Struthio camelus: one gene and its partner. The protein of the gene in region 1 binds, or shares a complex with, the protein of each later gene. Links are inferred from orthologs where the notes say so. Each region holds a gene or a part of one and is shown on either strand. Other genes may lie near its edges.

Region 1 (7,825 bases):
TCAACGGATCGGCCGCAGGCTCCTGCACGGGGACGGCCGGCGCGGCTCGGGGCGGGATGAGCGCGCGGCGCCGCGGCCGCGGGAGGGCACGTTCGCCAGGCGCCCCGACGAGCGGCCCGGCGGGGGCGGCCAGGGAGGGGTGGCGACGCAAGGCGTGCGCGCTGGGACGACTCCCCAAACCGGCTCGGCGAAGCCGTCTCCCCACGGCGCCGGGGAGCGCGGGCCGGGCCGGGGGTGAAGCGCCCCCCCCCAGGGCGCGCGCCCCGAAAGCCGGGCGGGCCGGGAGCAGGCCCGCAGCCGCGCACAGCGCTCTCTGGCTCCCCGCAGGCCGCCGAGCCCCCCGGCGGGGCCCCGACCCGCTGCCCCGTGGCGCTGGGCACACGGGGGTCCGGGCCTGGTCCCCACGGCACGGGGGCAGCCTGCCCCTCGCCCAGCCCCCCCCCCAACACACACAGGGCGGAGGGGACCCAGCCAGGCCCCACATTCCCCTACCAGCCTGCTGCCACCACGGCCCAGCCTCCCCCGGCCCCACAGGTCTGGCTTGGGGACACACTTGGGGGGGGGGGGGGACAGGCCCAGCCTGGGGACATTGGGGTGGGGGGGAACAGGGAAAGGCCCGGCCTGGGAACATGGTGGGGGGAGCAGACCCAGCGTGGGGACACGGTTGGGGGAGGACAGGCCTGGCCTGGGGATGGGGCGGGGGGGGGGGGTGAGACATAGGCTCGGCCTAGGGACACATGGCAGGGGGACAGGCCTGGCCTGGGGACACATGGGGAGGGGACAGGCCCGGTCTGGGGACATGGGAGGAAGGAGACAGGCCCAGTATGGGGACACATTTGGGGGGGGGGGACAGGGACAGGCTCAGCCTGGGGATATGGCAGCAGGGGGGCTGGCCTGGGGACACTTTGGGGTAGAGGCTAGGCCCAGCATGGGGACATGGTTGGGGTGGGGGGGGGACAGGGACAGGCTTGGCCTAGGGATGTGGGGGGAGGAGGCCGAGCATGGGGACACAGTTGGGGGGGGACAGGCCCGGCCTGGGGACATGGAGAGGGGGACAGGCCCAGCGTGGGGACATGGTTGGGGGGGGACAGGGACAGGCCCGGCCTGGGGACATGGAGAGGGGGACAGGCCCAGCATGGGGACATGGTTGGGGGGGGACAGGGACAGGCCTGGCCTGGGGACATGGAGAGGGGGACAGGGACAGGGCGGGGACATGGTTGGGGGGGGACAGGGACAGGCCCGGCCTGGGGACATGGAGAGGGGGACAGGGACAGGGCGGGGACATGGTTGGGGGGTGGGGGACAGGGACAGGCCCGGCCTGGGGACATGGAGAGGGGGGACAGGCCCAGCGTGGGGACATGGTTGGGGGGGGACAGGGACAGGCCCGGCCTGGGGACATGGAGAGGGGGGACAGGCCCGGCGTGGGGACATGGAGAGGGGGGGGACAGGGACAGGCCCGGCGTGGGGACATGGAGAGGGGGGACAGGCCCGGCCTGGGGACATGGTTGGGGGGGGACAGGGACAGGCCTGGCCTGGGGACATGGAGAGGGGGACAGGGACAGGGCGGGGACATGGTTGGGGGGGGACAGGGACAGGCCCGGCCTGGGGACATGGAGAGGGGGACAGGGACAGGGCGGGGACATGGTTGGGGGGTGGGGGACAGGGACAGGCCCGGCCTGGGGACATGGAGAGGGGGACAGGCCCAGCGTGGGGACATGGTTGGGGGGGGACAGGGACAGGCCCGGCCTGGGGACATGGAGAGGGGGACAGGCCCAGCATGGGGACATGGTTGGGGGGGGACAGGGACAGGCCCGGCCTGGGGACATGGAGAGGGGGACAGGCCCAGCGTGGGGACATGGTTGGGGGGGGACAGGGACAGGCCCGGCCTGGGGACATGGAGAGGGGGGACAGGCCCGGCGTGGGGACATGGAGAGGGGGGGGACAGGGACAGGCCCGGCGTGGGGACATGGAGAGGGGGGACAGGCCCGGCCTGGGGACATGGTTGGGGGGGGACAGGGACAGGCCTGGCCTGGGGACATGGAGAGGGGGACAGGGACAGGGCGGGGACATGGTTGGGGGGGGACAGGGACAGGCCCGGCCTGGGGACATGGAGAGGGGGACAGGGACAGGGCGGGGACATGGTTGGGGGGTGGGGGACAGGGACAGGCCCGGCCTGGGGACATGGAGAGGGGGACAGGCCCAGCGTGGGGACATGGTTGGGGGGGGACAGGGACAGGCCCGGCCTGGGGACATGGAGAGGGGGACAGGCCCAGCATGGGGACATGGTTGGGGGGGGACAGGGACAGGCCCGGCCTGGGGACATGGAGAGGGGGACAGGCCCAGCGTGGGGACATGGTTGGGGGGGGACAGGGACAGGCCCGGCCTGGGGACATGGAGAGGGGGGACAGGCCCGGCGTGGGGACATGGAGAGGGGGGGGACAGGGACAGGCCCGGCGTGGGGACATGGAGAGGGGGGACAGGCCCGGCCTGGGGACATGGTTGGGGGGGGACAGGGACAGGCCTGGCCTGGGGACATGGAGAGGGGGACAGGGACAGGGCGGGGACATGGTTGGGGGGGGACAGGGACAGGCCCGGCCTGGGGACATGGAGAGGGGGACAGGGACAGGGCGGGGACATGGTTGGGGGGTGGGGGACAGGGACAGGCCCGGCCTGGGGACATGGAGAGGGGGGACAGGCCCAGCGTGGGGACATGGTTGGGGGGGGACAGGGACAGGCCCGGCCTGGGGACATGGGGGACGGAGGGAGGCGGCCTGGGGGAGGGTCGGTCCGGTGGCAGCCCCGGCCCCAGCCCCGGCCCCAGCCCCGGCCCCGGCCCCGGCCCCGGCCCCGGCCCCACTCACGATGGCGCGGCCGTAGCAGGCGGCGGCCTCGGGGTACTTGCGGCCCACGAAGAGCCGGTTGCCCTGCTCCTTGTGCTCCTGCGCGCTGTGGCTCTTCTCGGGGCTGCCGCCGGGGCCCGGGCCGGGGCCGGAGCCGGGGCCGGGGCCCCCCGCGCCCCCGCCGCCGCCCCGCGGCCCCGCGCCCGCCCCCGCCGCCCCGCCGGGCCCCGCGCCCGCCGCGCCGCCCTCCTTCTCCTCCTTCCCCTTCATGGCGCCGCCGCCGCCGCCGCCCCCCCGCGCCGGGCCGGGCCGGGCCGGCGGCTCCGCTCCTGGCCGCGCACTGCGACAGCGCCGCCGCCGCCCCGCCCCCCCGCCCCCCCCCCGCCGCGCTTCCGGGCCGGGGCCGCCGGGGGCGGGGCGGCGGGGGGCAGCGCTGCCGCCGCGCCGGCTGCGGGGGGGGGTTGGGGTGAGGGGTGGGCTGCGGGGGGGTGCGGGGTGCAGGGGGTGGGGGGTGCGGGGGGGTTGGGGTGGGGGGTGGGCTGCGGGGGGGTGCATGGGGTTAGGGGTGCGCTGCGGGGGGGTGCGGGGTGCAGGGGGTTGGGTGTGCGGGGGGGTTGGGGTGGGGTGTGGGCTGCGGGGGGGTGCATGGGGGTTGGGGGTGCAGGGGGGTTGGGGTGGGGTGTGGGCTGCGGGGGGGTGCGGGGTGCAGGGGGGTTGGGGGTGCAGGGGGGTTGGAGTGGGGTGTGGGCTGCGGGAGGGTGCGGGGTGCAGGGGGTGGGGGGTGCGGGGGGGTTGGAGTGGGGTGTGGGCTGCGGGGGGGTGCATGGGGGTTGGGGGTGCAGGGGGGTTGGGGTGGGGTGTGGGCTGCGGGGGGGTGCATGGGGATTGGGGGGTGCAGGGGGGTTTGGAGTGGGGTGTGGGCTGCGGGGGGGTGCATGGGGGTTGGGGGTGCATGGGGGGATTGGGGGTGCATGGGGGTATGGGGTGGGGTGCGTGGTGCAGGAGGGGGTGGGGTGCATGGGGGGGTTGTGGAGTGCAAGGGGAGGTGGGGGGCTTCGGGGGTGCATGGGAGGGCAGGGGGTTGTGGGGTGCAGGGGGAGGTGGGGGGGGTGCATGGGGAGCTTGGGGGGGTACATGTGAGGGTGGGGGGGTTGTGGAGTGCAGTGGGGGTACATGGGTTTGGGGGTACATGTGAGGGCGGGGGGGGTTGAGTGCAGGGGGGTGCATGGGGGGTTGGGGGTACATGTGAGGGCAGGGGGGTTGTGGGGTGCAGGCGGAGGTGGGGTGCAGGGGGATTGTGGGGTGCAGCGAGGGCAGAAAGGGATAGGGTGCATGGGGGGGGTTATGTTGCAGTGGGTGCAGCAGGGTGTGGGATGCATGGGGGGGTTGGGGTACATGGGGTGGGATGTGGGGTGCACGGACGTGGGTGCAAGGGGGCAGTAGGGTGCATGGGGTGCTGGAGGGTGCAAGGGGGGGGTGCAAGGTGCAGGGAGGGTACTGGCGGCATATGGGGTGCAAAGGGGTACTGGGGGATTTGGGGTGCTGGGGTGGGTAGGGGGACAGGCAGGAGCAGGGGGGGGTGTGCAGGAGGTGCAGTGTGCAAGAGCGGGGGGGGGTGCAAGATGTCAGGAGGGTGCTGGGAGGTATGGGGTGCACTGGGTGCAGGGTGCATGGAGGGTGTGGGGGAGATGGGTGCTGTGGGGAGGCGCAGTGGGGTGCATGGGGTTGTAGGTGCAGAGAGGGGTGCAAGGTGTGGGGTGCAGTGGGGTATGGGGTGCATGAGGGGTGTGGAGGGTGCAGCGTTCATAAAGTGGGGTGGGGGGGTACAGGGTGCGGGGGCTGTGGATGCAATAGAGTGTGGGCTGCTTTGGGAGTGGGGGGGGGTGGGGTATATGGGGGGGCTGCAGTGGGGTGCGGTAGGATGCATGGGGTGCAGGATACATGGGTGGGGGGGTGCAGGCTGCAGTGAGGTGTGGGAGCATGGGGATATGGGGTGCATGGGGGGGTGGGGGTGCACGATGATGTGGGTGCATGGGGGGGGTATGAGATAGGGGGGGCCAGATTGGGGTGCGTGGGGCTGGATGGGCACCCTGGGGCCTGATGGGGGGGGGTATGTGGGGGCTGGATGGGGGGGCTCAGTGGGTGGGGGGGGCAGGATGGGGTGGGGGGCACAGGGCAGGGTGCTGGGAGGGGGCGCGGTGGGGGTTAGTGGGGCGGGGGGGCCGGCGGCGGGGGCTGCCCTCGGTGCCGGAGCAGCTCGGGGGGGGGGGGGCCCGGACCGGGCGCCCCGCGAGCCCTCCCGCGCGCTGGGCTCGTCCCCCCCCCCCCCCAAACTTTTCTGCCCTAGTCATCTGCTCCCAGGCCGGATTTGCCCTCTCCCCTCCCCGTTTCCCAGCTCAGGCCCCACGCAGGCTGCTGGGGGGGGGGGCTTCCCCCCCCCCCCCGCCCCCCGGACCACAGCTGGCCGAGGGCACCAGGCCTGCTTCCTCGGCCCCGCTCCCGCTCAACTAATGAGCAACGCACTGATTTAATTAGCAGCTGACATGGAATTAGCAGGCTCAACCCCCCCCCCCCGAAACCCCTCGGAGCATCCCAGCGCCCGTTCCCCCCCCCGCCGCTGCCGGAGCCCGAGGGGGCCGCTGGTGTGCAAAATATTTATTTATACTCCAAAAAGGTCGGTTGGGTCGGGGGCCGGGGGGCTCCGGCGGGCGCCCCGGCGGCGCCGGGCGGCAGAGCGGGGCCGGCCACGGCCGAGGGGGGCGGGCACCGGGCTCACTGCTGAAACGAGTTTGGCCGGTCTCAGCTGGTTCTTTCTTCTTTCTCCTCCCCTTCTCTCTCTTTCCTCTCTCTCTCTCTATATATATATTTCTTTTTCTTTTTTCTTTTTTTTTTTTGGGGGGGGGGGCATAGAAAAATAGATCAGTCCTATTTTGGCACCGGTCCTCCACGTAAAGGCGCCGCTGCCCTGGCCGCGGAGGGCTCCTCGGAAGGGGTGTAGCGAGGCCGGCGGGGGCCGAGCCCCGAGCGGGGCCGGGGCGGGTGGGCGGCGCGGGGCGGCGGCTGCCGGGGCTGGGGGGCTGCCCGGCCCTGCAGGGACCCCCGCCGCCCCGGGGTCGGGGGGGGGGGGGGGCGACACCGATACAAAACGAGAGGCAGAGGGAACAACGGGCAGCGGCGGGGCGGGCAGGGCGCTAGGGGGGCGGCGGGATCTGTGCCCCCAGCAGGTCGTAGGCGAAGATGTTCCAGAAGACGGCGAAGAGGAGGAAGGTGCCGTAGGAGAGCAGCACCACCCACCAGCCGCACTGGTCGCGCAGGCTCTCCTCGTAGCTGCGCAGGATGGTGAGCCCCATGCTGATGCCCACGATGGCCCCCGCCAGGTGGGCCATGAAGCTGGGCTGGGGGCCCGAGGCCGGCAGCGGCGGCGAGAAGCGCAGCCACACGGCCCGGCCCACCTCCGAGCTCACTGCAAGACACGGCCGCCGCTCAGCCCCCCCGGCCGGCGGCCCCCCGCGCCGCCCGGCCCCCCCCCCCCCGGCCGCTACTTACTGCACACCAGCGCCAGCACCATGCGGAGCAGCTTGTAGGGGCAGCGCATCCCTGCCCAGTTCTGCGGGGAGAGGGGCGCGTGGGCGGGGGGCGGCGGCGGCGGCGGGGGGGGGGGGTCCGGTTTCGGGGCCGGGTGGCCACTTACCATGACCACGTTGGCCAGGTGGGCAGAGCAGAGCGCGTAGACGCCGCCGGAGCCGCCCACCAGCGGCGCCCGCATGTCCGTGATGGAGACGGTCAGCGAGCCTGCGGGCAGCGGCGGCGCTCAGGGCGGCCGGGGTGCGGGGGGGGGGGTCCCCCGCACCCCCCCCCCCACGGGGTGCGCACCCACCTGCCAGCACGCCGGCCAGGTAGAGGAAGCTGATGCGCAGGACGCCGTGCACCATCTCCAGGGGCACGCCGATCATGAGCTGCAGCAGGGCGTTGAAGCCCAGCTGCTCCAGCCTGCCGCGCAGGGGAGGACGCGGGTGGGCCGGCCGCCCCGCCGCCGGCGCCCGCCCGCCGGCCGAGGCGCCCCGCCGCCGCCGGGCCCACCTTACCCCACGTGCATGAACATGTAGGTGAGGAAGCGCCAGGCGCGGGCCCGGTGCCCGGGGTGGTAGACCAGGGGGCTCTTCATGTACTCGGGGTGGTAGGTCTGCAGCACCCACTTGTTCAGCCGGGCGCCGTAGCACAGGAACACGATGATCTGCGCGAGCCGCCGGGCAGCCGTCAGCGCCCCGTCCCGACCCCCCGGCCGCCTGCCCGCGGCACCGGCCCCCCGCGCACCTGGGTGAGCGTCACGGCGGCCATGAAGACGGGTGGGGGGCAAGTGCGGTGCTGGTAGAAGTACCAGCGCCGGTCCATCTCGCAGGGCAGGATCTCGTAGGCCACGTAGCGCACGAAGCGCTTGTAGAAGCCCAGGCCGGTCTGGTCGAGCAGCACGTCCCGGGGCAGGGCCCGCTGCCCGTTGGCGATGGCTCGCTTGAAGCTGCTCGAGCGCTTGCTGCTGATCTGCGGCGAGAGGGCCGTGGCCCACCACCGCCCGGCCGGGGCGCCCCGCCGGACCGCGGGGAGCCGCGCGGCTCCCGGCACTGCCCGGCGCGTTTCGCCCGTGCCCGGCCGGCCGGCACGGGGGGGTGCCCGGCGCCCGCCCGCCCCGGTCCCTCTCCTGCTCCCGGCCCCGGCCCGCGCCACCCCGGGACTGACCAGATCCACCAGCTCCTGGTAGCAGACCTGCCCCTCGCCGTCGCCCTGCGCCAGCGCCACCAGCATGTCCAGCTTGGCGGGGTCCAGGGGCAGCTCGTGGCGGTGCACGAGGCTGGCGAAGGTCTCGGCGCCGACGAAGCCGGTGTTCTCGGGGTCCAGCTGCGGAGCAGAGCACAGGGCCGCACGGCCCAGCGGCGCCGTCGCCTCGCTGGTGCCCCCGCGCCGCCGCCGCCGCGGCAGCCGAGCCTGCC
Region 2 (7,476 bases), on another chromosome or scaffold:
AAGTAGTATCTAATGCCTTTAAAAAAAAAAAAAAAAAACATTGTTGGATTTGAAATTCAATGTCAGTGATCAATCTCTATCTTCTCTGGCGTAGCTTAGCTACAAAAATATTATTTAGGAACAGAAACACTTTCCTCGAGTCACATTCTGAGTTTTTGCTCAATAGTACTCGTAAATAAAATGGTACTTAACAAATGAATGTTTCAGAAGCTGTCCATTAATTTGAACAGACTCTCTAGGCTCTGGCAAGTGGCCCTATCAGATCAGTCACACACAATTTCTATCACCATAAGAGATGGTGATATGGAGATTTTTCTGTGAGCAAGATCACACTGCAGCTCTCCAAAATCAACACTATATTCCACCAAAGCCCTTCAAAAGCAGGTGCAACTTTTTCTATTTGTAATAACCCTTGCAACTTGGCAGGAGAAGAAGTACTTCTCATTACCACAGATTTCATATCAGATAGGGCTGAAAATTTGTCTTGTATCAGGCACCTACTCAAAAGAAGACTGATCCATTAGAGCACTTCAAATTCCTGTGTTCATGCAATTACCAAAAGCAGCTTAAGTGTTATTTTTCTCTTAAATGGGTTAGCATCAAGCAGTATTTCCATAACAGAAGCCTTTGAGTAAAATAGCACTAGTTTCTCCTCATCTATGTTTTATGGTTGTAAGAAACATACTTAACTATTTTGTTCTTTTTATTGCCATAGCAGCCAGTGTAACAGGTGCCTCATTATACTAGGAGAACAGTGTCTCCAAAAAGGAGTTAAAGCACTTTTCCTATGCTATTCTTTATATTCCCATTATTGAATTACATTTTTTAAGGCCTCTTTACATTACGACCAGAACAATACACTTGCATATTAAATTAACTAGCACTTAAAAAGCCACAAATGGGACAGAAGGATATGTTTTGTCCATTTGGATTCATTTCCACACTCTCAAAACAATAGCTTGTATCTGTGAACGCAACTGCACTAAGCTACCCTGATGGAGCAGCTCTATGCCAGAAGAGTATACCCTGGTCATTTGTTTTAAATACCACGCTGCTCTCACACTGAGATTTCAGTTACGGTCTGCACTCTCAAAATAGGCCGTTATCATTCAATTAGTAATTAGAAAAACTTCCATTCTTGAAATAACAATCTGTATCTAGTGCTTTGACCCTTGTAATTTATATAAGGCTACCAAGAAAAAAAAAGTCTGTGATGTATATTGAAGACACATTTTGAAGATACCAGGTATCTTCAAAACGGTGCATCGCAGATATGTTTCATGCAATTAATTTTTATATATATATATATATTTCTTAAATAGGGGGCTACTGCTTAAAACAGCAACCCAAGCAGAACTCCTTCCCAGCAAGCAGGCGCGAGGCTCTTCCCAAGAGGCCAAAACAGCAAGGCGGCCGTGACCCTCGAGGGCTGACACGAGCACGGTCACGCTCATCACACAGCCTCCTGCCAACCCGGCGGCCTTCACGCCGGGCGCGCGGCCGGGCAGCGCCCCAGCCACGGCCCAAGCCGCAGGAGCCCTTCCCCGGCGCAGCCGCGCCAACCGGCCGACGGCCAGGCGCGTGGCTCCGCCGCACAGGCCCAGGCTGCGGCCTCCCTCCGCCTTTCACCGGGCGGTTGTCCTCCGCTGGTACGTGGCGGGGGCCCTTTTCTAGGCCCTAACTCTGGGTGACGTTTTAGGTAGCGAGGATGGCCAAATCAAAAAAAAAAAAAACAGTCAGCGCTTTTTGATAGGAACGCTCCCTCGCCACCCGTTTCATTCAGTCGCAAAAAATCGAAGGCGACAGCTGTAAAGTGTGGCCAAGTGGGGATGAAAACGCAAAAAAATCCCACAGGAATTGTTTTTCCACTGGACTCGGAACTTCTGGTGCCGCTCAAAGTTTCCAGCACTTTCTGGCTAGTCACTGCATTCTTTACAGAAACGCTAATACTGGTCAAATCGCTGTATTCCCGGGAACCAAGAGAGTTTGACTTGAAAGAGCCACTGAGGAGGGCCCTTACCCCCTCACACCCGCTCTCCCCTCAGCTGCCTCTCTTCCCATGGACATATTTGGACTAAGATACAGCTTTTCCCTGAGCATGCTTAAAAACAAAACAAAACCAGACAGCAAAATTACTGAGATACTTTGTGACCAGAAAAGAAACCTTGACAAGTTATAAACTCTGGATTGGGTTTCTAGGTTTTTTTTTTTTTTTTTTTAAACGCATTCACTGTTTGGACTACCCGGAGCAGGGGGAAAAAAAAAAAAAAAAAAAGGCATCAAAGTTTTGCGTCTTCCCAGGCAGGCTGGGTGGACTTAACCAACTTTAAATAAACATTACAGGGGCCGAGGTATCAAATGATTTAATGCACAAAAAAGGGACTGCAGTGCGTCAGAGACAAAAGGCAGCTCCTGGCCTCACTGCATTGCCATGCACTGAGGAGAGCGCCGGCCGCCCTGCCCCCCCCCCGGGCGGGGGCCGCCGGCCGCGCCCTGCCCCCCGCCCCGGCGCCAACGGCCGCGCGGCGCCAACGGCCGCGGCCCCTCCCCGCCCGCTCTGTCACGGCTTTGCCCTTCGCGGCCGCGCCGCCCCGCCGGCTCTCCCCCCTCTTCCCCCCCCCCCCCCCCGCCCGCTCCGAGCTGCTCCGCCGAAGTTGCGGCGGGGCGCGGAAGGGAGCGGAGCAGCGCGGCGCGGAGCGGGGCACCCACCTCCCCACCCGCCGTACCTCGGCCCGCAGGCGCGGGTCGCTCCAGGTGGTGGTGCGGCTGTTGTGATCCACGAAGAAGGGCCAGCCGGTCTGCGGGTCGATCTTGATCTCCCAGCCGGGGGGCAGCGGCTCGGCGCTGCCGCCCTCCATCTGCACCAGCGGGGAGTGAGTGGCGGCACTCATGCCGGGCCAGACAGGAGCTGCAGTGTCAGGCGGGGAAACCGGCCAGGCGCCTTTATCAAGCGGGGCGGGAGGGAGGGAGGAGACAAGGGGCTGGAAGTGTCTGGAAATAGCCGCTCTGTGCAAAGGGGGAAGGCGGAGGAGGGGAGGGGAAGGAGGAGGGGCGGAGGAGGAGGAGGGGCGGAGGAGGAAGAGCGAGAGGCGCGGGGTAAGCTGGCCGGCTGGAAACTTCTGGTTGCGTCTAGCACAGCTTGGCCGCCTCCGGGCCGCCGGGCAGGGGCTGCCCCTTGAGTCACCCCGCCCGGCCCCGGGGCAGCGGCTGCAAGTTTCCTTCACCCCCTGCGCTGCGAGCGCCCGGCCCGGCGGGAGGGCCCCGCACCCCCGGCAGAGCCGGCGGCGTGGCGCGGGTGACTGGCGATTTCTGAGCAGGGCTGCTTTGCTTGCTGTCGCACTGGAGCGAGTCTTGTCTTAACAGACCGGGGGGGGGGGGCGGCTGCTGCCCCCAGAGATCTGCAGTCTGGACCCACCCCCGGGGGCTTCCTCAGGAAGAGGCAGGGCGGATAAGTGCGTGGAGCGAGTCCTCTCTTTTACCTTTCTGCAGGAGTGCACATGTATTTTACAGGCCCACTTAACAGGAGCAATGCTTGAGGCAGACTCTGGAAAAGTAAACCTAAAAGATACGCATGCTGCTTTACTGCTCTGTCCAGTTCCTGCTACGAGAGTGTAAGTCTGATACAGGAGAAGGGGATTTTTAGGCCAGCAGTGTCCCCAGAGAACACACAGCCCTGCAGCGTACTCTGAACTTCCTATGGTTGGGACGTAACAGCCCATTAATTCCTACCTCCTGGTATAGTGACCAAAGCCCAGAGAGCATCTTGCTTGCCCTGTGACTGATAACTTAAGGTTGTAATTGACTAAACCCGACAAATAGCAAATAAAAATAATCTTTATTTCCAAGTATGAGGATGGACAGACATGCTCTTCAGATTCAGCTGTTTTGATCTTCTTTAGCTTTTTGTAATTTAATGTGTCTCAGCCCTCAGTTTCACTAATACCAAGGAATATGTCAAAGCGCAAAACTTGAAAATCATGCCTTCCTCTATGGCTGCTGTATCAGTTTTTCATGCACTCCCCCTAAGTGTTCAGTTTGAGTTAACTGTACTTCATAGTTGTTCCACTTGTAGTCATCCGGCAGTCATGCCACAGATGCCTGTTGATAGTTACTTTAAGTAGAACAGTGAATGCAGAGTGTCCCTTAAGTGCAGACATTACCTGCTGCAAAGTTACTTGCTTCAAGGAATTCAAGGCATGCATTCCTTGGAGATAGTCATTACTGAAGTACTTAAGAAAAGCCTGTGTGTTCCCGCTCCTGGGGACAGTCAGGATCTCCTCTTGCTTGAGGAAGTAAAGCCCAAAGATCTCTTGATACTGCTTGACGGTGATACTCCTTTAACCATTGGCAGAATGAGTTTACTTCATTATGCTGGTATACCTAATAACCCCTCAAACTTGCTTCTTCCTTCCTGTAACACTTCCATTCTGTACATTGCTTGCCTTCAGAACTACACAGTAGTCCATCAAAGACTGCTCTTTCTATCCTCATTGTTATTGTGCACCTTTGACTTGCAGGTATTGTAAACTGACCTTTTTTTTTTCAGTCTGTACCTTGAAATGCTCGTATTATCAGCATCATCGCTTCTGACTTACCCATTTGTTAGAGCAACAGTCACATATCTCGCATATCTTAAAATCAGTCCTGGACTGTGATACACATCCCTGGACATATCTCCTAACCCTGCTACCTCTCATGCTCTTATCAAAGCCATCTCTGTCCAGCTTCATTAATATCAGCAGTTGCCTCAAAAGACTTGATATCTGAGATTTGTTCTACTTCCAATCTGTAAAAATCTGTAGAGAAATTTCACTCTTTGGTCTCATCTTCAGAACAGTAAGAAGCATGCTTAAACCATAAGTTCTCTGTGGCATATACCACAGTCCTTGCCAAGTCAACGAAAGCCACTGACTTAGGGGAACAGCATACAGAAATGTTAAAAGGTCTTGCCGGGGAAACTACTTAGGTAAATTGAGGTAATACACATAGTTTTTGTGCCTGATGGAGTGTAAATAGAGAAATGAAGAATGGGGTTTCTTTGTTTTGCTGCAGCTGATAGCTAGTTGTATGCTTAGCAGAGTTAATGAATGAGGTCAGCAAGTACGTGAAGAATGAATAAAAGGAAAGTTCAAAGGGCTAGCTAACAATTGTAAGTTAGACGTGTTTGTGCATTTGTGCCATGCTAAGGAATGGAGGAGAGTACGTTTCACAGAAATTAGCAGGAGCTAATAGGTCGGGGTGCTTTTGATTGTCTACAGGAGAGAGACTCGCGGAGACAAGGCTCCAGCTGCAGAGAAGGGAGTGTGGACTAAGAAGTAAAATCATTTTTGTGACTGATTTTAGTTGGCTAGATCTCATGGTTTTTCTGTCAATTAAAATCTCTTCCTGAGAGAGAGATTTCAGCCTGGTACCTCTTACAGCTGAAAGAATTCCCAGCTAGGTAGGTTATAGGGGATAGCAACTCAGTGATTCACTTTTTTATTCTCTAATACAATGTTGTGCTGGGCCATAACTGCAACTCCGAGGCAACATGGCTTCTAGTTTGTATTACTGTTAGTCTTATTCATGACCAGACTGATTTAGGGAAATGTTCATGTAAGGAATACTGCTCAGCAAAAATTTCAGGTCCACGAAAATTTGTTAAAAGATGAAGAAGTTTCTGTACTCTCCACGTATTTTAAGATGAGACTCCAGGTTCGAGATCTATATATTCCATTTCAGAAGGGAAAATAATGAAGAAGCTTTTGTTATTTTTTGGAGAGACTTCTGTCTTCTTCATATTGGTGCAAACATAGTGCTCCTGACTTCTTTAGGTTGATATCTGCATAGGGTTTTGCAGACCCAGAAGAGCATTTGTTCCAGGGTGTTCCAAAACAACCAGAAACCATGTAATCACAGTTAACCAAAGATAATAAGCTGTACAGGGTCTTCATGTGTTTCTTTGTCTTGAAAATGGACAGATTCTTCACCAGTCAATTAGAAAATCATTAGGCTCATATGAGCACTTGGATTTCCAAGGAATAATCCAGGACCCTAACTCAAGAAAGCCATTTCTTCCTCAAGCCAGCAACTACATCATCTCTCCGTTTTGATCTTCAAGACTGTGGAGAGAATTTGCCTCAGCTTCCACATTATACCATGGCCTGTGGTAAATTCATTTTATATGCACAACTACGTTCCAGAAACCTCAGGACAGCATAGATAGGCCACCTGGGGAAGTTCTTCACTGCGTGCTGTCATACCTTCTGTCACGGATGGATCATGAATTGTCTGCCAAGGTGCTCTGTTTCATCTACTGTTCACACAAGGACTTGGGTGACAGTTCTGTCCAAGATGGCCTGGCATGTTTGTGCAGGCTATCCATGGTGCTGCTGCTTCTCTCCTAAATGGGCTTGAATAATTCAGGTTGTTCAAAGCAGCACCATTATAAGCAAGTAAATCTCTGTGGTATGTCAGGAAGCAATGTGTCTTGGGATAAGCTCTAAATTGGCTGGTCAACCTTCTGAGTACCCATGATAATTTAGCAGATTACCTGAACAGAAAAAGTTGGATTAATCAGGACTATGAGTCGAAAATGTTTGTTCTGGATCAGGTATTCTAGAAAGCTTTTACTGATGGATCTGTGGGTAAGTAATGTGTATGACAAGTGTCTAGAGCTGTATTCCTAAGTGGGAATACAAGTTCTTTGCTGGATGCATTTAAGATTGAGTTCATAAAAAGGCTCTGTTAATAAGTGCAGCGGGCACGTGGAGTCTCTTAATGTTCAGGTTAGATAAACATGGCAAATCCACTACCATGACTTCCACAGCCTGATGCTTCATCCACATCCAGAGTATCAATACTGAATAGCACAGAACTCCACTGATTGCATTTTGAAGAAATACCCTGCTCCAGCTGTACAAACCATTTCAATTAAAAGCAAAAAGGTCTTAACTAAAAATTCTCTGCTAACTACAACCGGAGCAGAGGAGATTTTGACTTCTTGATTTGTTCAGAATTGTGGACTTCTTGGCATCAACAAAACAAAAAAAATCACTGAAATGATTTGGCCCCCTATTTCAGAAAATTAAAGATGCCGCGATTTGCAATCTTCTACTACTCTACCTCTTATACTACAGATAACTTTACTGACCTTTTTGTCCTTGTTTTTGTAGCTCATAATTTAGTCTAACAGCTGATGAAATAGATCACTATCCACAGAGGGTCTGATCTCACACTGACTGCTGTATTACTGCAGCCATTGTACGGCCCGTACAGTTTGATCGTGTCATCTGCTCATTGGAGTTACAGTAATCAAATGCAAATAATTAGGTATATAAATATAGCTCCTATTAACTTCAATAGAAAATGCAAAACATTAGTAAGAACATAGAGGGGTAAATGTACTTGCTAAATGGAGAAAAGCTTTTTAAACTTACGTGTTTCAATCACAGGTCATTTGCACCAAGTCTTGGCATCCGCAAAGCATATACTCAG

The links. Proteins that work in one complex are often made in the same cells at the same time.
Region 2: STUB1 (region 1) and BAG3 share a complex: the UniProt entries of both Homo sapiens proteins name them as parts of the chaperone-assisted selective autophagy (CASA) complex. The link is inferred for Struthio camelus from reciprocal best matches to the Homo sapiens genes STUB1 and BAG3.

What each region holds. Positions count from the first base shown.
Region 1 is NC_090956.1:17,572,744-17,580,568, forward strand, and holds the start of STUB1 (E3 ubiquitin-protein ligase CHIP), read right to left. Parts: upstream 3,007-7,825; 5' UTR 2,862-3,006; intron 1-2,861. Other genes in the region: RHBDL1 (rhomboid-related protein 1), read right to left, coding at 6,032-6,303, 6,387-6,447, 6,532-6,632, 6,718-6,830, 6,926-7,074, 7,155-7,379, 7,575-7,733. UniProt on the Homo sapiens protein: E3 ubiquitin-protein ligase which targets misfolded chaperone substrates towards proteasomal degradation.
Region 2 is NC_090948.1:7,078,515-7,085,990, forward strand, and holds the start of BAG3 (BAG family molecular chaperone regulator 3), read right to left. Parts: upstream 3,007-7,476; 5' UTR 2,892-3,006; coding exon 2,727-2,891; intron 1-2,726. UniProt on the Homo sapiens protein: Co-chaperone and adapter protein that connects different classes of molecular chaperones including heat shock proteins 70 (HSP70s), e.g. HSPA1A/HSP70 or HSPA8/HSC70, and small heat shock proteins (sHSPs), e.g. HSPB8.